Linked DNA regions of Coturnix japonica. The protein of the gene in region 1 purifies or fractionates together with the protein of each later gene. This does not show direct contact. Links are inferred from orthologs where the notes say so. Each region holds a gene or a part of one and is shown in the gene's direction. Other genes may lie near its edges.

Region 1 (9,872 bases):
TTGACTGTATCTCCTTCCCACAGTAGCAATGCCTGTGGATTTCAGTGGAACCTGGAACCTTGTCAGTAATGACAACTTTGAAGGCTACATGACAGCTTTAGGTAGGTGAAAAGACCTAATCCTATTCTCTCTTCCCCTTTGAGAGGCCTCCTACATTTTAATTCTTCTAAAACCTAGATACTGGGGTCTGGGAGGAGACCAAATGTTCAAGAACATGCCTAAACTGTGTAATATGTAACACCTCTGGGGGAGTGGAAATCCAAAACAAGAACAGCAAAACCAAATTTATATAGCAGAAATACTTCTGGAAGCAATACAGGTAAAGCCCAGCTGTCAGAACAGCCAGTGAGCAGCACGACTCAGTGTTTTCTTTCTTTTGTCAAAGGTATTGACTTTGCAACACGTAAGATAGCAAAAATGCTGAAGCCTCAGAAAGTGATCAAACAGGATGGTGATTCCTTTTCCATCCATACCACGAGCACGTTCAGAGACTACATGCTCCAATTTAAAATCGGTGAAGAGTTTGAAGAAGACAATAAAGGCCTGGATAACAGAAAATGCAAGGTAAGACTGAATAATTCAGAAATCAATGTGTTCTTACAGAAGGAAGATGCTGTAGTGAGCCTTGCTGAGCTGAAATTGATTCAGTAATACTATTTTTAACACAGTATAGGTGCAAGAGCCTGAGTTAGTGATTAAATTTTCACATTCCCTCAGCAACAGTATTTAATTTAGTTACATTTTATTAAGGAAGAAAGGATACTGCCTGCTAGATAGATTTCAGAACTGAGGTGACATGAACAAACACTTGGTTTCTTTTTAACAGAGCCTGGTTACCTGGGACAATGACAAACTTATCTGTGTCCAGGCTGGGGAGAAGAAGAACAGGGGCTGGACTCACTGGCTTGAAGGAGATGACCTCCATTTGGTATTTGATTTACTTCTGAATTGTCTCTGGGTGACAAAGAAAATGCAACTTATATTGTAGTCATAATGTGCAAGTTGTCTTCCACCTCAAGAGTACATGTAATAGAACATAAGGAACACGTTTTGCTTTCAGCTGCATCACAGAATTGCAGGGGTTGGAAGAGACCTCTAGAGATCATCAAGTCCAACCCTTGGCATAATTTCACTGTTCCATCCTTATTCATCTTGCACAGCCAAATGCAGAATGTTATGCATAACTTAGCACAGCAGCTCAGGGATGGTCGGTGGTCATGGCAGAAGATCTGTCTTCTCTTTTGGAGATGGTTCCTTTGGTTACTTTTCTGTTTGTTTGTTTTGTAGGAGCTTCGTTGTGAGAATCAAGTATGTAAGCAAGTGTTCAAGAGAGCTTAAATATCAGCATTGGTTCCAACACGGAAAGACAGCTCTATACAGGAGGCCATGTGATAACTGGAAACGCAAAACCTGACTTCTTTCTACCTAAATGGCTGATGTTTCTGGCTCAGGAAATATTATTTGTTGTTAGCAGTGTTAAAGACCCGATTTTTGCTAATAAACACAACAAACCATCTTAAATACCTGTCTTATGAATGAGTTTTGGAGGGGGGAAAAATCCCAAATCATAAGCAATAAGATGCTCTGTAATTAACTAGTCACCCAGATCACAGCAAGGACCATTTCCCCTTCCCTAAGGGTATAGCAAGATCAAACAAAACAGGAAGGACAGCTTAAACCTGTGTGACTCCAGGAATGGTAAAGTTAAGATTACAACCAAGGATGTAACTTTACTATTTCAGTAAATAGTAAAATGTCAGTATGTGAAATAATTGGATGCTATCAGCACATACAAAGAATAAAAATAATGCTGCTAAGATTTATTTGTATGTATTTGTTCCATTTGCTAACATACTTTTCTGTGCAACATCCACAAGGTCAGCAATGAGAAATAGGTTATATTCTACCTCATGTAAACAAGCAGCCAGACCAACCTGTTATATGTGTGAAATAAGCTGCTACATCTCCTGGGTAACACTAACAGCACTATTGCTAGAGTTTAATCCAAATTACTGAGCTTCAGCTAGATTTAATTAGCATTTTCTTCTTCACAGAAACTCAACTTATCCTTGATGCTCTCACAGATAAATAATATAACTCATTATTTAGGTAACTCTTCTTCGCTGTCAGCTCTGTTAAAGCTGGGAGAGCTTTTAATTAGATCAGTATCCCAGGGGACTCTAAAAGTAAGGTGGCTGGCTTCCAAAACATGAAATCCCAGTGCACCTTAGGGTCAGGGTGGGGACATTTGAAGGACCAGGAGTAAAACATGGAATTCATTTTCTGAATTCCAGTGGTGAATTCACTTTGGAACCGAGTGCTGCTTTTATTTGGTTGGAAACGAGATTTATGATACCATAGAACTCTAATACAAATAACACGGAGAGCAAACATTCTCTGTCACCTCTACCAGCACACTTCTGCAGTCACAGACTTTGCTACTCCATTAGATGGCACCACTGCAACAAAATGCATTCTTATTTAAACTGTAGTGATACTCAACAGCAGCACCTCCAGTGTTAAATACTGCAGATGTGTTCAAGTCACACAGCTTAAAAGAAAGGAAAGGAAAAGGAAAAAGAAGGAAAAGAAAAAAAGAAGGAAAAGAAAGGACTTTCTTTGCTAAGAAAGTGAACCAGAACCCCCTGACAGCTCCAGAACCCAAGGACAGGAACAGAACTCACCAGGAAGCCATTGGAATGGTGTTATTCTAATGTGTTTCTGCTCCATTATCTCACCACAGCTCGGATGGTGAAACCCTTCCAGCAACCTTTCGTTGTTTATCAGGCAGTGCCAGTGCTGAGGATGGGACTTTAAGATGTGTTGTCTGCACAGAGCAGTGTGTGGGTGGGTGAAAGGCTGTGTGCCCCTTTGGGACCTTACAGCCACAACAGACGGTGGGAATTCAAAAGAATCTCAGCTATTCTTTTGAATTCACATTCTATAGGACACGATTAAATACATGAGGAAGAAGAGTCACACAGGTGATAGATACATGGAGGTGTGAGGAGCAAGATCACAGACACCATGAGGGCTGCTGAGCTTTACTCAGAAGTGTCCACCTAAACATTAACTTAGAAGTTAACTTATTAAGTCTTATTAGAAGACATTTGTGAGTAGTTCCCTCATGATCCCCCACCTGTATTTCACAGCAGCGGGCACCCGTGAGAAAAGGAAAAGAATATTTTACACAAGAGCATCACTTCGAGGCATAACAAAAGCACACGATGCAGAAAAAGCTTGTGTTGTCCCACAGAAAGAAATCAAAATACCTCAGGTTCAAAGGACCCGGGCAGGAGTACGGCGGCAGACTCCATCCTCCCAGCTGCGGGCGGGCGGATGGACGGCCATCCCCTCACGGCCATCATCCCCTCAGCTCCTTCCCGCCCTTCATGCCGCCCCGCTCCCAAGGCGCCGCCATCCCCGCCCATCCCTCCGCCTCTCTCCCTTCCCCATTGGCCGCCGCCCCGCTCGGCCCGTCATGCCCGGCTCCCTCCGAGGCCTCATGTGACCCACCCCCAAGATGGCCGCCGCTGCCGCCCTCTTGTTTTGATGAATAATCTCTGCGCGGGGCAACGGGCGGGAGCTGAGGCCGAGGGACGCGGGAGGTTCCTCACAGGGAGCGGAGGGAGCCGAAGAGCGGGTGGGCTGCGGGCTTTGGGCCGGGGGCGGCGGAGCGGTCGGCTGCTGTTGGGCGAGGCGAGGCCGCCCCGGCGATGCCCTTGTGAGGCGCGGAGGCGGCCGGAGAGCGCTCCGAGGAGCTGCCCGTCGGCGGGGCGGAGGAAGGCACCCGCCCTCCGTTCGCGTTCACCATTAAGAGGAAGGCGATGGAGGAGCTGAGCGCGGACGAGGTGAGGCGGAGTGCCGGGGGGAGCGGGGCCCTGCGGTGCTGCCGTCCCGGCTGCTTCGTTTGGAGCGCTCCTTTGTGCTGAGCGCCGGCAATCCGTGCGCCTCATGGGTGTGATCGAATCCTTCTTTTATCCGTAGCGAAACGCTTAAAATATCGCTTTGTCAGAGCTGAGGAGCGAGGTGTGTGTGGGGACCGTGTGCCTGGTGCCGTTTGGTTTCCTCACGGTCACTGGGTTGCAGCCCTTAAGGCCGGGCCTGCTGAGGGAATAGCGCAGCTGCTTCTTATTGCCATGGAGGAGCCGGAGTGTGTCTGTGTGAGGACTCCTGTACACCTCCGCTTTGTTGTTTCTTAATGCTCCACCAGAGCGGAGTTAGGTGGTACAGAAAGCAGCATCCTCACTGGGGTGTTTGTGTCTCACTGGGGTGTTTGTGTCTCACTGAGGTGCTTCTGTGTCATGTTGTGTGTGAGATCTGTCTGAAAACCCCTCACCTGTCAGGTGAGAAAAGTAGCTGCACTTGAAATTAGCTGCCAGGCTCCTGGAGGTGAGGTTGTCTCCTTATACTGAGCTGTATAAAATGTGCAGGTAACAGATTTCATCTTCCAAAGACCAGAGATGAATACAGTTGAATGGTGTTGGGTCTGTAGGTTGTAGGTCAACTTCCCACTGCTTTCTCTGGGTTTACTTTGTTAAAGCACCAAAGGTGCTCTTCATTACAGCCCATACCAAAATCATCAGGGATCTGGGAGAAGCAAAAATCTTTTTTTTGGTGTTTATTTTAGTGTAAGTGCCAGATAACATCATGAGGATTGGGAACTGAATAGGAAATAGCAAAGTCAAGCCAGGTATGGCGTGAAGTGGGACAGAATGAGGTGAATTTGGTGTCTTGTGTATGGCTGTTGAGTAGCTCAAAGTTGTGCTGTCTGCCAATGGACCATGAGCAACATCCCCAGGAAATGAAGCATGCCTTAAGCTTGGTTAACACGTTGTAAGGATACAAATTACAAGCTGCAAAGAATTCCAATTACACTTTATTGGACCGAGGTGGGATTTCTCTCTGACTACAGAAGTAGAAACATTTTCCTTTAGAAGCTGATGAAGCAGTTCCTACTGAAACAGATGTTGGCTGTGGAATTATGTATAAATCTGAGCTGAGGTGTGTGAGCCCAAGGGAGCAGCTCTGCTGTGTGCTTCAGTTATCGGCTGCCTTGAGCAGGCTGCTATTTTTACATTGGATGTGGCAACATGTCCAGCTAACAGCTTTTTGGAAGCCCATTAAGATCACAAATATATTTCTGAATGTTACTACCCCAAGAATGTATCAAGTAAGAACTGTGCTAATTAATAACACGATTCATAACCTTTTCCATTCAACCAATTAGATTCTTAACTCTGTGTTATGGTGGAGGGAAGGTAGCTTATGGAACAAACTGTGCTGATGTAGTAATTGGTACCAAACAACTTCTTGTTGGGCAATGCAATGACACAGCGCTTGTCTTAGGTTGCTGTTGCAAGGAGTGCTGCTGAAATGCAGGGTTAGGCGTTGTGGAGGGTATCTTAAACGCTCCTAATAAAATAATTAATCTACAAAATCCCCACGTGTTACCCCGTGGCGCTGTGGTTAGTCATGCAATCCGAAGTGAAGCCGGGTCGCTTTGACTTTGAACTCCTGCAGCTCTGACACGCTCTTTGTGCTACGTGGAGGCAGCGGGCTGCAGCCCAGCGCTGTGCAAACACTGCGTCCTGCAGGCCCAGCACGAGGCCCATGGCACTGTGCCGTCCCCATTGCACATCCTGGCCCATGCAGTGTCCAGGCACAAGTGGATGAACCAGACAGAAGGAATCCATCAGTTCCATGCTGTCCTTCCATGCTTCTGTTTCAGCTTGTGGCTTTGCCTTTCTAGCATAGCATCGTTGTTTCTTTGCCCCTTTTTCCCCACTTAAGTCTCTTAATTTTCAGATCAAATTTCAAGTTTCCTTGAAAACGTAGAGGATTATGATGACCTGGGGCATCAGAGCAGCCAAACCTGGTTCTTTATCAGTCAGAGAAATGCGTCTCTTTTGGTATACTCTTTTGGTATAATACTCTTTTGATATTGGCGTTGGTTGATGATTTGTCATTCCTAAATGGGTAGTGAAATTCTGGGGTTGGTTTGAATTGCTGAATTTTATCTAAAAGCATCCCAATGTCCAGGAGGTTTCTTTGTTACGTTCCCTTCTTCAGAAACTTCTTCAGGGCAGGTTACGGTCTGGAGCTTTGGTCTGTGTGAAGGGTCAGTGCTTCATGGACTAGAGGTGAAATGAGTGACCTCGTGTTTGAATAACATTGACCACAGCTGGTTGTGCCATAGCTCTGGTGGTGGCATTGCCTGCTGCTGTAGGTGAAGAAGTGTAGAGTGGCACAACCAGCTTATTAACCAACAACTCACTTGTTTGCTTGAAGCTGGGAGGTGATGTAGAGAAGATTTGTGCAAATCAAACCTTGTGAGGCATGTGGCCTCGATTGAATCATCAAGGTCTGACCGTGTTTGAGAATAAGTGTATACATTTCTCGGTTAACATGAAGCTTTGGGTGTATTTGTCTGTGCCTCTCTCTCCTGATACAGTTCCAAATCTGACGTCTGATTTAATTTGATCTGTTCTTCCTCCTCTTGGAGTAGTTTTCACAGACCATTATGTGACTGCAGCGATGTCTCCTAGACATGGACTTGACACAGATTTTTCTTCACTCTTTAACTTCCCCAGCAATTCATCAGGATTGCGAGCAGAAATGCAAACAGGAATTACACCAGTGCTTGGGGATATCAATACCAATAGGGAATAACATGAATAGCTCACTTGTGTCGGGAGCAGACACCCTCAGATGCTTTTACTCCATGCTTGTTTTCTTTGTACCAGAAGCTTTTGTATCAGATTCTCTGAGGCAGCCTGTAATTATGGATAATTCCTTCTGTATTTTCATTTTTTGCTTAAGGTTTCATGGCTCTCAAATACAAGTTTTGTGAGCTTTATCTTTTATCAGCATCATGTGGTCATGAACAAGCTTTGATAAATATGTTCATAATAGTTTTCCAAGGGCAAATACTGCTCTGCCCTACTAGTAATGTGAAAACTGACCAAACTCCATTTGGTCAGACTGCTCCAGGTAATGGCAGGTTGCTATTGGCTGTCTTCATTTGCCTCTCAAGATGCTCCTGCCCAGCAGGTGACAAGTAGGGTAGATTTCTAGTGTTGCAGAACTGTCTCAGATAGTATTGCATACAGTCTTCTCTTAACAATATTCAATTGGATCATCTTAAGCAGAATTTTGTTATTAGGGGTTGTGTGGTGTGAGATGAAGGTAAAGGTCGTGTTCCTTTTAGCCCTTTTATCAGATTAACACAGTTTGTTTAATCAAATGCCAAAAGAAATCAGGAGGTGTGTTAGAGGTTTTGAAACTGCTGAGCAGTAAATATTAAACCGGTCTTACACAACTGTTAGAGGGATGGACGCAGAATTCTCCAGTGCCATTTAGGGAATACTGTGCCATTTAGGAGACCCAGGGATGGAAAACTATGGAGTATGTTTGAATGTATGTGCAAATCAGTTTTTCTGTTTGTTTGATGTCCTTTGTGCAGATCCGTCGAAGGCGCCTTGCCCGGCTGGCAGGGGGACCATCGTCCCAGCCCAGCACACCACTCACATCGCCGCAGAGAGAGACCCCACCTGGGCCACCTGCAGCAGCTCCAACCCCTGGGCCATCCCATAGTCTCGGCCTAAATGTCCACAGCATGACCCCAGCTACCTCACCAATAGGTGCATCAGGTAGGCTGGCCTTTGGGGCAGCAACGATTATTGCCTGTGTGTCGGGTGTTATTGTGTGACCCCTCACATTCAGAGCATGAATGCTGTTATTGCCTCTATTTCTGCTGTCGTAAAAATGACATTCTGAAAGGAACATTCTGAATTGGTCACTGAAGGTGCTCAAGTCTTCATTTTACCAAATAGAAATGGATTGTTAAAATTCTTCTCTGGGCATCAGTAAAACTAAGGAGAATATTTGAAGTCACCAAAGCTGGTTGAATGTAATGCACTTTTCTATTGGCAAGAAGTACAGTAGGAAAGCCAGCCTCTTCTCCTTGATAAAAAGTGATTTCAGTCTCGCAAGAGAATTTTTATTGATTGACTCCTACGTTCATTTTTGCCATGTTCATTTATGATCTTTAATTACTGGCGTTTGGCACAATTAAAAGTAGTGGGCTGTGACTGTGCATTATCAATGTGAGAATGAAGTGCTGCTCTCTTTGTGTTGCAGTATTTTTGAAAAGATGAAAGTTTTCCCAATTCCAGTATTAACTGCAGTGAGGACAAGTAGGATATTTACAAATAGCAGTTACTTCAGACCATATGAAGCTCCTTGTCTATTAAATTCAAATACAGAAAGTATGCAAGGTTGGGAGGGTGTGAGGTGTCTGGAAGGGGCTGCTTTCTGCGTATTTTGTTGCCTTGTATCCAGAGCAGGCCAGAGAAAAGCTACCAAAAGCATTTCCTGGGCAAATCTGGTACAGTTGGAATTTAACACTGCGTATTGTCGTCGTGATCATAGGCAGCAACCCAGAAGCAAAGATGTCTTTATTTATTTTGCAAATAGTACAGAGTTCACTTACCATGTTCACTCAGCCTGTGGTTACGGAACTATTTTAATCCCTCTTAGGTCTGACTCTTGCTGAAAGGAGCCTTTCTCTCTGCCTCTCCCCCTGATGTCAGTAGCAAATGTGTGGTGAGGACTTAATCCAGGTGGACACTAACCCGCAAAAAATGTTAGTTAGTTTTCAAGCACACACACAATTGTATAAGCGCTAATGCCAACAAAACTGGAGGTGTGGAAGCACGTACCTGAAGGTAGAAATGTTCATGATCTGGCAGACTGGTTTATTCTGGTTAGAAGTTGTTGGACAGTCAAGACCTCAGAGACTTCTGTTGTAAGTGGATTCATCTGTCTGCATTGGACAGTTGCTAATTGCACAGATAAAACTGTGATCACAAGAAACAGAAGGTATCCAGGCAGTGGATTGCTTGTTTCCTGTAGTGCCAGTCATTGCAGCAATTCAGTAATGTGTATTTCTTTGCACATCACAATCAGGGATATGGTTAAATTGGGGGAATAAATCAAGAAGAAAGTGTTTGTAACTGATTATCTGCTGAATTTATTTAGCGTAAATGAGGACTTGGCTAACACTGAGTGCCTTGCAGGAGTTCCTTTGCAGTAGTAGACTAAAATGACTGCAGAGGATTTTAATTTATTTGGACATACAGAAAACAGCCCCAGCAGAACAATGTCCTTGCAAGCATCAATTTTTATATGAAGTTGTATGGGATCAGACTCATACATCAATTCCATGGAATGTGTGCTCAATTATTTCATGTGACATTTTTAAAGTACTTTGGAGATCCTAGAAATAGTGTTTCAATGACAGCCCCACATACTGGGCCTGTGATCTTCATAACTTCTGCATGCTACTGTGCTTGCATTTATGGTTGTTGGTTTTTTTTGCTTTTTTTTTTTAAGGAAAACTGGAATTTCAGGTGCCAGTTGTTTTATTGTGTGCCTCATCCATCATGATGATACAAATAAATTCTGGAAGATTTATTGTGAAAAGATGGTAGGTAGACAGTTGGCTTAAAGAGGCCTGTTAATGAGCACTCCAGGTCAAGTTAATTTTCCTGGCAGTGGTAGTGAGACCCCAAGAAGAACAACATTCAACATTCTCTTTGCCATGACAAAACCTCATTTGCTCTAGTTCCTTGCTCTAGTTTGGGAAGAGGTGGGAGGTTTGTACCTTGGCAAGACTCATGGAAGACTGTCTCTTTCTCTGAGAGGTACTGAGGGAAAACCAGGCTGTTAGTGGGATATCTTAAATCAATGGTGTGCTGGAATACCTGCAGCCAGCCTTCCCCTGCCATGGGCACTATATTTCTGCTAGTTGTTATTTGTGGGGAAATTACATCACAGAAGTTCTGCTTTCAAAAGTTGCCTTTATTTAG
Region 2 (10,043 bases), on another chromosome or scaffold:
CCCAGCGAGATGACTACGCCTTTATCACCCAACACTGGGAGCAGCCCCTGCCTGCAGGACCTGCTGACAAAGACGGTCTTGCTTAGCTTCTGCTTTTTTTAATGTAAGAAGATGCTCAAGCCGATCTCCCTCGCTGCCCTTCAAGGTTCACGGGTATCAAAATACAGCCGGGTGGGAGAAACAAAGGCAGGCAAACCACAAACAAGCCAGGCAGCCTCCTGGCCACCTCCCCCATCCATGCACTGTTTACAACCAGCACCGACTCAGACCAACCCAAATCAAGCACCTGAGAAAGCAACTGCTCTGCTAACATCCATTTTCAAATCGGTTCTATTTCTTCCTAAAACAAATCCCCCAGCAGACGCCTATTTAGAAGAGGAAGCTTCCATCCTCACTTAACTTCAGGGCTTCTCCCAGACGCTGTGAGCGATCTCCTTGTGCAAAGTGCTTCTTTGCTCAACTCTTTCATCCCTGTGCTACCCAGCAGCTCGTCACCAGCATGAAAAACCTCCTCTTTTTTTATCTCACTCAATCATACGACAGCTTGCGAGTGCAACAACAGAGAGTGGATTAGCAGTCAGCAGCAACAAGGCATTACCTGGCAGCTGAATGCAACCTCAGGTTTCTCAGGCACAATGCAGCACCTGGCCCAACCCCACGCTCGTCTCCAGCAAAGCCACCAGGCGCATGTTGCAAGAGGAACCATAAAGGGGGGTGCAGCCTCATGGTAACGAGTGAGGCGAGCAAACACAGCTCGGGTGCAGCACGCCCTGGTATGCGGCCGCCCTGAGCGTCCCCGACCTGTGACAGGTTGGAGCAAGATTTATGCAGAAATAAGGGCTCGGAACACTGCACCAACCTCGGGAGCTGGAGGCTGGATGGGGAAACACGCCCTAAGCAAGCAGCTAAGTTACAGGGGGAAACAGGAGGCTTTAAGGCGAGAGGGAGACGCGGATCGGGTGCTATATAATGGGGAGGAAGCCGGGGAGGGCTGCGGCGTGGCAGCACCGCGAGCTTTCACGCCCCATTTGCGGCTATTTACCGACTTCCCGGCGCTCCGCCGGCCGAGGTGGGGGGGTCTGATTATCAGGCCCCGACACGCCGCCCTTTGTAAGGGGGCAATAGGAGCTCTTTAACTCCATCCCCTCCTCAGAGCGTCCCAACCAACCTCTACCAACAAAGCTGGGGCGGCACAACGAGCCCCGGGCACCTCAAAGCCCGGATCCCAACCCCTCAAAGCACCGATTGGGGCCGGGACGGAGCGGCCCACAGCCCCTATTCCCCCCCACAGCCCCTATTCCCCCCCACAGCCCCCTCTGCCCCCCCACAGCCCCTACTCCCCCCCACAGCCCCTGCTCCCCCCCCCACAGCCCTTCACACCACAACGGCCGCTGCCCTCCACCCCCGTACCCCCATTACCGGCCTCAGAACGGCCCTAACCGCCCCCCTCCCAGCTCAGAGCCTCCTGGCGAGGCTCGGTGCCCGTTACCTGCGGCAGGCCCCTGGTATCTGTGCGGTGATTGCCGGCCCGCTGTGCTGGCTCTGCCCGCAGCTCAGCCCGCAGCTCGGCCGCTGCCCGCCCCGGGCCGCCCCGCCTCAGCCCGGCCGGAAACGGCGCGAGGGGGGGGCGGGGCCAAGTACCGGAAGTAACGCCTCACTTCCGGGTACGGGCCCAGAGACAGAAAGGAAGGGCGAAGCCGGAAGTGGAGAGAAAGAGGCGGGAGGGAAAGGAGATAACGTTAGCCAATTGGAATGGAGAATTGGGAATTCACTTCCGGTTCCGGGGATATAAAAGAGGGAGCGCGGGGTGGGGCCGAGCATTCGCGGGTGAGACAGCATTGGGTGGGGTCGTGGTACAGGTGAGAGCTGAGGTGATGCCGGGCCTTTGCGTTGTGATTTGTGTTATAGCTGCTTTCTTTGTGCCTTTTACCTTTGGAAGTGTGGGGGAGGATGCTCCGTGCGGGGGTCGTCCTTTGTTCCCTTGGGTGTGGGAGGGAGGGGCTGCCTAACATCACTGAGGGGAGGGAGGAGGCCTTGGCGGGCCTGTGGCTCTTGGCATCCCTTTAGTGGAGGCCAAATAGCTGCTATGGCCATAGACCGTGCCCTTCTATCCCTATAGGGGCACGTTTCCTAGTCATCTCAGGGACGGTGCATTATCTCTTTATGTATTTCTAGTGCACGGTGTTGGATATCTGTCCCCTTGATGGCTTGTTTCTTAGTGTGATCACCTCTTTGTCCTCTTTCACCCCAGGCCTAATCATGGCAGATGAGGAAATTGCTGCCCTGGTGGTGGACAATGGCTCTGGTATGTGCAAGGCAGGCTTTGCAGGGGATGATGCTCCCCGGGCTGTGTTCCCTTCCATCGTGGGACGCCCCCGGCATCAGGGTGTCATGGTTGGGATGGGGCAGAAGGACAGTTATGTGGGGGATGAAGCCCAGAGCAAGAGGGGTATTCTCACCCTGAAGTACCCTATTGAGCACGGCATCGTCACCAACTGGGATGACATGGAGAAGATCTGGCACCACACCTTCTACAATGAGTTGCGTGTTGCTCCGGAGGAGCACCCCGTCCTGCTCACTGAGGCCCCGCTGAACCCTAAAGCCAACCGGGAGAAGATGACCCAGATCATGTTTGAGACCTTCAACACTCCAGCTATGTACGTGGCCATCCAGGCTGTGTTGTCTCTTTATGCCTCCGGTCGCACCACTGGCATTGTCATGGACTCTGGGGATGGTGTCACCCACACGGTGCCCATCTATGAGGGTTATGCTCTGCCCCATGCCATCCTGCGTCTGGACTTGGCCGGCCGTGACCTGACTGATTACCTCATGAAGATCCTGACAGAGAGAGGCTATAGCTTCACCACCACGGCTGAGAGGGAGATCGTCCGTGATATCAAGGAGAAGCTGTGCTATGTGGCTCTAGACTTTGAAAATGAGATGGCAACTGCTGCCTCCTCCTCCTCTCTGGAAAAAAGCTATGAGCTTCCTGATGGCCAGGTCATCACCATTGGAAATGAACGTTTCCGCTGCCCAGAGACTCTCTTCCAGCCATCCTTCTTAGGCATGGAGTCGTGCGGCATCCACGAGACCACCTTCAACTCCATCATGAAGTGCGACGTGGACATCAGGAAGGACCTGTATGCCAACAACGTCATGTCTGGGGGTACCACCATGTACCCAGGTATTGCTGACAGGATGCAAAAGGAGATCACAGCCTTAGCACCCAGCACCATGAAGATCAAGATCATCGCCCCACCGGAGCGCAAGTATTCAGTCTGGATCGGCGGCTCCATCCTGGCCTCCCTCTCCACCTTCCAGCAGATGTGGATCAGCAAGCAGGAATATGATGAGTCTGGCCCCTCCATCGTCCATCGCAAGTGCTTCTAGAGGGGCTGCTGGCAGTCACCCGGGGTGCCCCCACAATGGGGCAGGCGTGGGAGGAGGTGTTGCAGGCTTGTCCTTGGGAGCTCTCCCTTCAGCTTGGACCAGTATTGTTTGACTGTTACTTATGTTACGTTCTAATTTGTTGAGGTACTGAGTAGTAACATACAGTGTGCATTTAAATGGCCTTGCTCCAGTTCGGACCAGTTCATGACTAGAGAGAAACAGCAGCTGTGGTTCTGGGGCAGCAAGTAGATAAGGAGTTGTTCACGTTCCCTATGTTAACACTAACAGGATGCCACTAAAGTAGGTCCGTCACCTTTAGGTTTGTCACATCTGACTTGTTTGTAGGAAAGCAAATAAACTTAGGCTGAAAAGTATCCAGAGTCTTTTGCTTTCTTTCAGGGTGGGTGTGAGGGCTTAGACCCAGTGCTGGACTTGAGCTGTTTGCAGCAAACACAGTGACCCAATGCAAAGCTTGCAGTGTGAACCGGCTGCACGCAGACCATTTTAAGAGCTATTAAGGGTAAAACCTTGGCTGGTATGCAGCCCTTGCAGCCCTTCTGGACTTTCATGGTAACTTGGCTTTATTTAGAACCAATTCCTGTTGGAAAAGAGCGCTGGCACAGGTTTTGTGATGAGAGGAGCCTCTCCTTATTTGGGAGGGTGACAAGATGTGGCAGTAAGTGCCCAGAGCTGCTCAGCCTAAGGAATGGGGTCCCTCTTGCTGTAGCAAGCCGGCACCCAACACTCTCTTCACCCCCCCCCCCCTCCCCACGCCCCCATAGGAGGCAAGTGAGCCAGCGCTGCCGCCCTCCCCCTTTTAAACCCTCAGCCGGCCGCTCATTGGCTCGTTGTGCCACCTCGTCGGCAAGCCGGCCAATCGGTGGCGTCCTCTTCCCACACCAAGCAGACTACATTTCCCAATGCGCACCGCGCTTGAGGACTCACTTCCGTTTCCGGCGTGATGCAGGAAGAGAGACGCTTAATGGCGGCCTAGGCGGGTGGGTTGTGTGTGTTCGGAGATGGCCGTGTCCGAGTGGCACATCGCGGTGAAGCTGGCGGACCAGCCCTTGGCCCCCAAATCCATCTTACGGTTACCTGAGACCGAGCTCGGGGAGTGCCCGCTGGGGGGGTGCAGCATCTCCCACCTCAAGCAGCTGATCACCGGGAAACTGCAAGAGTCCGTCCCGGACCCCGAGCTCATCGGTAGGTGCGAAGGCTGCGGCCTAGTCCGGCCTATCTATTAGTGCTGCGGCCTGGTCAGGCCTCCTATTAGTGCTGCGGCCTAGTGCGGCCTCCCTGTTAGTGCTGCGGCCTAGTCCGGCCTCACTTAGTGCTGCGGCCTAGAGAGGGAGGGAGCAAGATGAAGGGAGGGAGCAAGATGAAGCTTTATGGCTCTTTGCATTGTGGTTTTCGTGTGTTGTGTTAAGCTGTGTGCATGCAGAGCAATGTCTTAAGGAGCACGGGCTCTTTCTGAGTGTGCTGTATGTGTTTGTTTTCTTTATAGATCTGATCTACTGTGGCCGTAAGCTGAGGGATGACCAGACGCTTGATTTCTATGGCATCCAATCTGGTTCCACCGTTCACGTCCTGCGCAAGTCCTGGCCTGAGCCTGATCAGAAACCAGGTGAGGAGGAGATGGTGCAGATTGCATTGAGCATGAGGAGCTGCTGCTCTGTTTCTAGGAGCACAGCATGAGGTTTGGAGGTGGAACTGATCTGCTTGTTTGCACTCAAAGCAGTTAATGGGCATTACTCTTATCTTGCTGATGTATGGAATGAAAAGACATTAAAGATCATCAAGTCCAGCTGCAAGCTGAACATCCCTTCTTTAAGTAGCTCTGATCAATCTTAGTGTTGCTAGAGAATCAGAATCCAAGTGTCTCATTAGTAGAGCCTTATGTGTGTCGGGCTATAGAGTCTTAGTGTTGCTAGAGAATCAGAATCCAACCATCTCATTAATAGAGCCTTATGTGTGTCAGGCTATAGAGTAAAAATGACCAGTTTTAGAATTATTTCAGTGTATTTCCTTTTATGTGTGTAGGAGTATATGCTCTTCTATGTCTGGAAGTTAGGAATGTGGCCATAGCCCTTGGTGGGCAGTTGCTTGTTAAGCTGGAGTAACAGCACTGGGACAGTTGTGATCTGTATCCTTCCTTCCAATTGAATTCAGGAGGACTAAAGAATCATTGTTGCTACTGCAGCTGGGAGGTACAAGGAGGGTGTAAAATGGCTTGTGAAGCTGACAGAGGGAGGAGCATGTTTTGATCTGTTCTTTTTCTTTCCTCAGAGCCAGTAGACAAAGTGGCAGCGATACGGGAGTTCCGTGTCCTTCACACAGCCCTACACAGCAGTCCTGCTTACAGAGATGCGGTGAGTGGGACTTTGTACATCACCACCTTGGTGTCTTTTATCTGACCCCCTCTCTAAGGAAAGACCCTCACTGAAACCTTGCCGTGTGACACTGCTGATTGATTCTGATTTCTCTTGCAGGTGTTCAAAATGCTGGGGAACAAGGAGTCATTGGATCAGATCATTGTTGCTACTCCTGGCCTTAGCAGTGACCCAGTTGCTTTGGGTGAGTCCAGGTGTTACTCAGAGGGCCTGGAGAAAGCCAGATGAGGATGGCTTTAAAATAAAGCAAATACAAGATAAGTTAAACACTGAATCCTTTCTGAAAGTGTTTAGTTTCTCATGTGGGGTGTGATCTCAATCTCATGCAGCCATCTGGGGTGAGCTGGGTGCCAGACTCGATCCTGCCTTAAAGTAGAGGCTGCCTGCACTGAAACACAGCCTGTGGGATCTGCTGGGGAAGCCCTGTGTCTGGTGGGTGTGGCTGTGATTTAGTCTGTCTAAGAAGGCACAAAAGGTTTCTGAGAACAATAATAGAGTATTTCTGGTGTCTTTTCATGACTCGTTTCCTGAAAAACAACTAATTTGCTTTTTTTCCCATGGTTGGACTGGCTCCTATATGTCTCGTATCCTGTCTCTTATTGGTCATGTTTCCTGGTCTCTCCCAGGCGTCCTGCAGGACAAGGATCTCTTCTCAGTGTTTGCAGACCCCAACATGTTGGACACGTAAGTTCATATAAGCTGGCACGGTGACTAAGCAGCTCCTTTGTTGTAATCCTGTATTGGTCACTTCCCTCTGGGTGGGAAAAAGCATTCTGCTGCTGTCTGCCAGTACAGTTACACCAGGACAGAGATCTGAGGAGGGTCTAATCTTCCTTAGCATTAGATGCTTCAACATAGTATCTGTATAACATGTATCTGTTGACATAGTGGAAGCAGGCTCATTCTCTCCTCCAGATCTGGTAGCTCACAGCAGAGAGTTGCTCCATGAGAGCATGTGGGAGATGTGTACAATGGGAGGGCCAGCATGGGATCAAGATGGATCCCTGACTTGTCTGGCTCTGTGGGGAGGTGTTTGTTGTTGGATAGCTAAAGGTAATATCAGATCGAGATGGTGTTGGCTCAACTAGTGAGAGTGGTTCTGCCATTCTTGCTGTAAGTTCACTAGCATCAAGCCATTCCTTCCTTAGTTTCTCTGTATACACAATTTGTTCTTCCACCCTGTCTCTCCAGGTTAATACCGGCTCACCCTGCACTTGTGAATGCCATTGTCCTTGTCCTGCACTCGGTGGCAGGCAGCACCCCACTCCCAGCCCCAGAGACATCCTCCCGTGGCATGTCCTCTGGCTCCTACCGTGACATGCCGGGTACGTTCAGCCTGTGGCCATGCAGATGTGAGAGGGAGCTGCAGAGATGATGTGCTGCAGGATCTGTTACAGGCAAATCAGTATTTTACTGGTGCAGGGATGAAATAGAAAAGTGGTCTGGGCACCTGAGCTTGTGGTTTGACAGAATACACTGAGAGAGGCTTATCTGGTGTAGTTCAACCTCAGGGCCTCTCTGAGCTGTGTGTGTACCACCACTGTTGGTAGCAAATAGATGTGGCCTCTGTTTTGCACAAGTGATGGGCCTGAGCTGTCTTGTGTTGACCTGTTGCAAGTGAACTTGTTAGTGCTGAGCTCGGCTGTGCGAGCAAAGCCTCCACTGGATTCTCATCTGGTGTTCTGCATCTTGTTGAATCATCTCTCTATCACAGGTGGCTTTCTGTTTGAAGGTCTCTCTGATGATGAAGATGACTTTCACCAGGTAATTCACAGGCTGGATTGGGTGGAACAACTATTTTGGATTTGTGGTAATGGTTTTAACTTTGTAGCTCTTAAAGTCTCTAAAGCACATGAGCCACATGGTAATGGGACGTGTCCACTGACAGCAGATGCCTGTTTTCTCCATGCAGAGCACAAGGTCAACACCATCCAGCAGCACTTCTGGTTCTCGCCCAGCTTCCCTTGGTTACTCTGGGGCTGCTGGACCACGACCAATTACCCAGAGTGAGCTGGCAACTGCATTGGCACTGGCCAGCACACCAGAGAGCAGCTCCCACACACCAACTCCTGGTACCCAGGTACAGCACCAGCTGGGGCTGTCCTCCTGCCCTGTAAAGCCAGCACTTGACTGAGTGCAAGCCCTGTGTGGATCTGGGTTCCTGCAGCAAGTGCTCTTCTGAGTTGTATACAACTTGTCTCTCTCACTAGGGTCACTCCTCTGGGACCTCCCCTATGTCATCCAGTGTCCAGTCAGGAACACCCATCACCAACGACCTCTTCAGCCAGGCCTTGCAGCATGCCCTGCAGGCCTCAGGGCAGCCCAGTCTGCAGGTCAGTATCTAGGCCTCCTCTTCTTTTGGGAACCTGTGAGAAAGCTCCTTATCACACTCAGCACTGCAGGGTAGAGGTGGCTCTTCCAGCTATCTCCTGTGGCTGGACTTTAGGTTGGAAGGAGTGTGACTGGTGAAGAGCTTTTTTAGGTGGCATGATAGATGTGTGCAGAAGGACTGGATGGAGGTGGGAGAGAGGGAAATGGGAGAGGTGTGCTGGTGGGTTTAGGGTGTTACCAACAGGACTTAAAACTTTCAAGACCTGTTTGCACACTTGGAATTGTGCTTGTGATCTAGAGAGATGGGAGTAACCAGCATGGTGGAGTGGGCTTTGGAGAAGGCTGTTTTTTTTTTTTACTGCTTGGACTCTTGCACTTACCCTTAGCTTCTTTTGTTTCCTGTTTGTAGAGCCAGTGGCAGCCACAGCTTCAGCAGCTACGAGACATGGGTATACATGATGATGAACTAAGTCTCCGGGCCCTGCAAGCTACTGGAGGGGACATTCAGGCTGCCTTAGAGCTTATCTTTGCTGGTGGGGCTCCGTAGCTCTGGGCAGGAGGGGCTGGACCACCATGTGGCACTGCTATTCCTTGGTCTGGGACTCAACCCCAAAGCTCTCTAGGGAATGGAGCAGCTGAAGTGGCTGCTTCTATCCGTGCAGGTGGGTTGTGGGCTCCTGTTTGAGAGCACGGGGCAATCTGAGGACAGTTCCTCCAGCTCCTGTGATCTCTCTCCAGCCTTCTCCTCATTCTGACCACCATTATTGAGACCTCAAAGCCTTGATCAGCACGGATTAAAACGCAACTGTGTGTGCTGGGAAGATGTAGCACGGTTCTGCAGTTAGATCTGGTGACCTGCTGTACTATCGCCTGCTGTTTCATTCCTGCCCACCTGGCACGTCTCCTTTTGCTGTTGTGGTCTCTCCCTGTGTTTGACTGTATTAAATGGACTGTATCCACTTGCCTGTTGTTTGTGATCTGTGCTGTCTTAGATTCCACATCTTCAAGGCAGCACGTGTTTGTTGCATCGCAGCTGGACGTGGTCTGCCTGTTATAGGACTGTTATTTCAGCAGAGGGCACTCCTCTTGCAGAACAAGCTGCTGGCTATGGCCATGAGCTGCCCGAAGACCACTGTGTTGGGATTGAAGCTGATCTTCCCAGTCTTCCTCCTTTAATTAGGCCTGTAAAGAACTCATTGTGCTGTGGATGCTTGCTGAGAAGGTGGCCCAAAGAGCATCTCGTCTCCTTTTCAGCAGCAATGTTTCTATATTCTACTGGGCAAAGCTTTTTGCAGTGCTGCAGGAACAAAGGTGCAGGAGTTCACGGCCACCACAAGGTGACAGTAGAAATGTAACAGGGTCGAGGCAGGTGCTGAAGATTGCAGGGTACTGCTAATGACTGAATGGGAGAGGCACATTGTTCTGAGCTGGTTTGTTGGGTTGTAGTGAATATTTTCCAATGTATCTTCTAGTTCTGGGTGTCACGTGTGAAGTTCTCAGGAGCTGCCTACAAAGGCAATCAAATGCTTGTAATTATTTGGTGGAAGCTGAGATGAATTGGAGCCAGAGGTAGAGCTGGCGTCGCTCTGAATGTACCATCAAGACTGACAGAGCATGAAAATAGGAGCTGGTTCGTCTGAAATGCCACCATGTGACACTAGGGAAGCTCAGAGCAGAAAATGGTCCCTTACCTTCAGGCTACCTGCGTTCCCCTCTAATTCCTTTCAAAGCACAACTGGTGTCTGCTGATACGATCTCAGCAATGGCACAGCAAATGCTGGATTGTTCTGTCCAGGATGGCTTATTGACTGCTAGAGTTTAATCCTGTCTGGAGGATTAAAGCTCCCAGGAGGGGAAGAGACTGCTTTTATTTTTCAGTATGCAGTGGATAAGATCTGATGAGTATCAGAAATCTCGTGACTTTCTTAACTT

The links.
Region 2: the proteins of UBE4B (region 1) and UBL7 purify together in Homo sapiens (affinity purification with mass spectrometry; 3 studies listed by BioGRID and IntAct, counting the BioPlex papers as one, with this or other methods). This does not show direct contact. The link is inferred for Coturnix japonica from reciprocal best matches to the Homo sapiens genes UBE4B and UBL7.

What each region holds. Positions count from the first base shown.
Region 1 is NC_029536.1:3,055,588-3,065,459, forward strand, and holds the start of UBE4B (ubiquitin conjugation factor E4 B), read left to right. Parts: upstream 1-3,493; 5' UTR 3,494-3,827; coding exon 3,828-3,851; intron 3,852-7,465; coding exon 7,466-7,652; intron 7,653-9,872. Other genes in the region: RBP7 (retinoid-binding protein 7), read left to right, coding at 29-101, 386-564, 827-928, 1,288-1,338. UniProt on the Homo sapiens protein: Ubiquitin-protein ligase that probably functions as an E3 ligase in conjunction with specific E1 and E2 ligases. May also function as an E4 ligase mediating the assembly of polyubiquitin chains on substrates ubiquitinated by another E3 ubiquitin ligase.
Region 2 is NC_029525.1:1,828,578-1,838,620, forward strand, and holds UBL7 (ubiquitin-like protein 7), read left to right. Parts: upstream 1-4,333; 5' UTR 4,334-4,409; coding exon 4,410-4,593; intron 4,594-4,894; coding exon 4,895-5,014; intron 5,015-5,676; coding exon 5,677-5,759; intron 5,760-5,879; coding exon 5,880-5,964; intron 5,965-6,406; coding exon 6,407-6,464; intron 6,465-6,971; coding exon 6,972-7,105; intron 7,106-7,494; coding exon 7,495-7,544; intron 7,545-7,692; coding exon 7,693-7,860; intron 7,861-7,990; coding exon 7,991-8,113; intron 8,114-8,520; coding exon 8,521-8,658; 3' UTR 8,659-9,074; downstream 9,075-10,043. Other genes in the region: actin, cytoplasmic type 5, read left to right, coding at 2,260-3,390.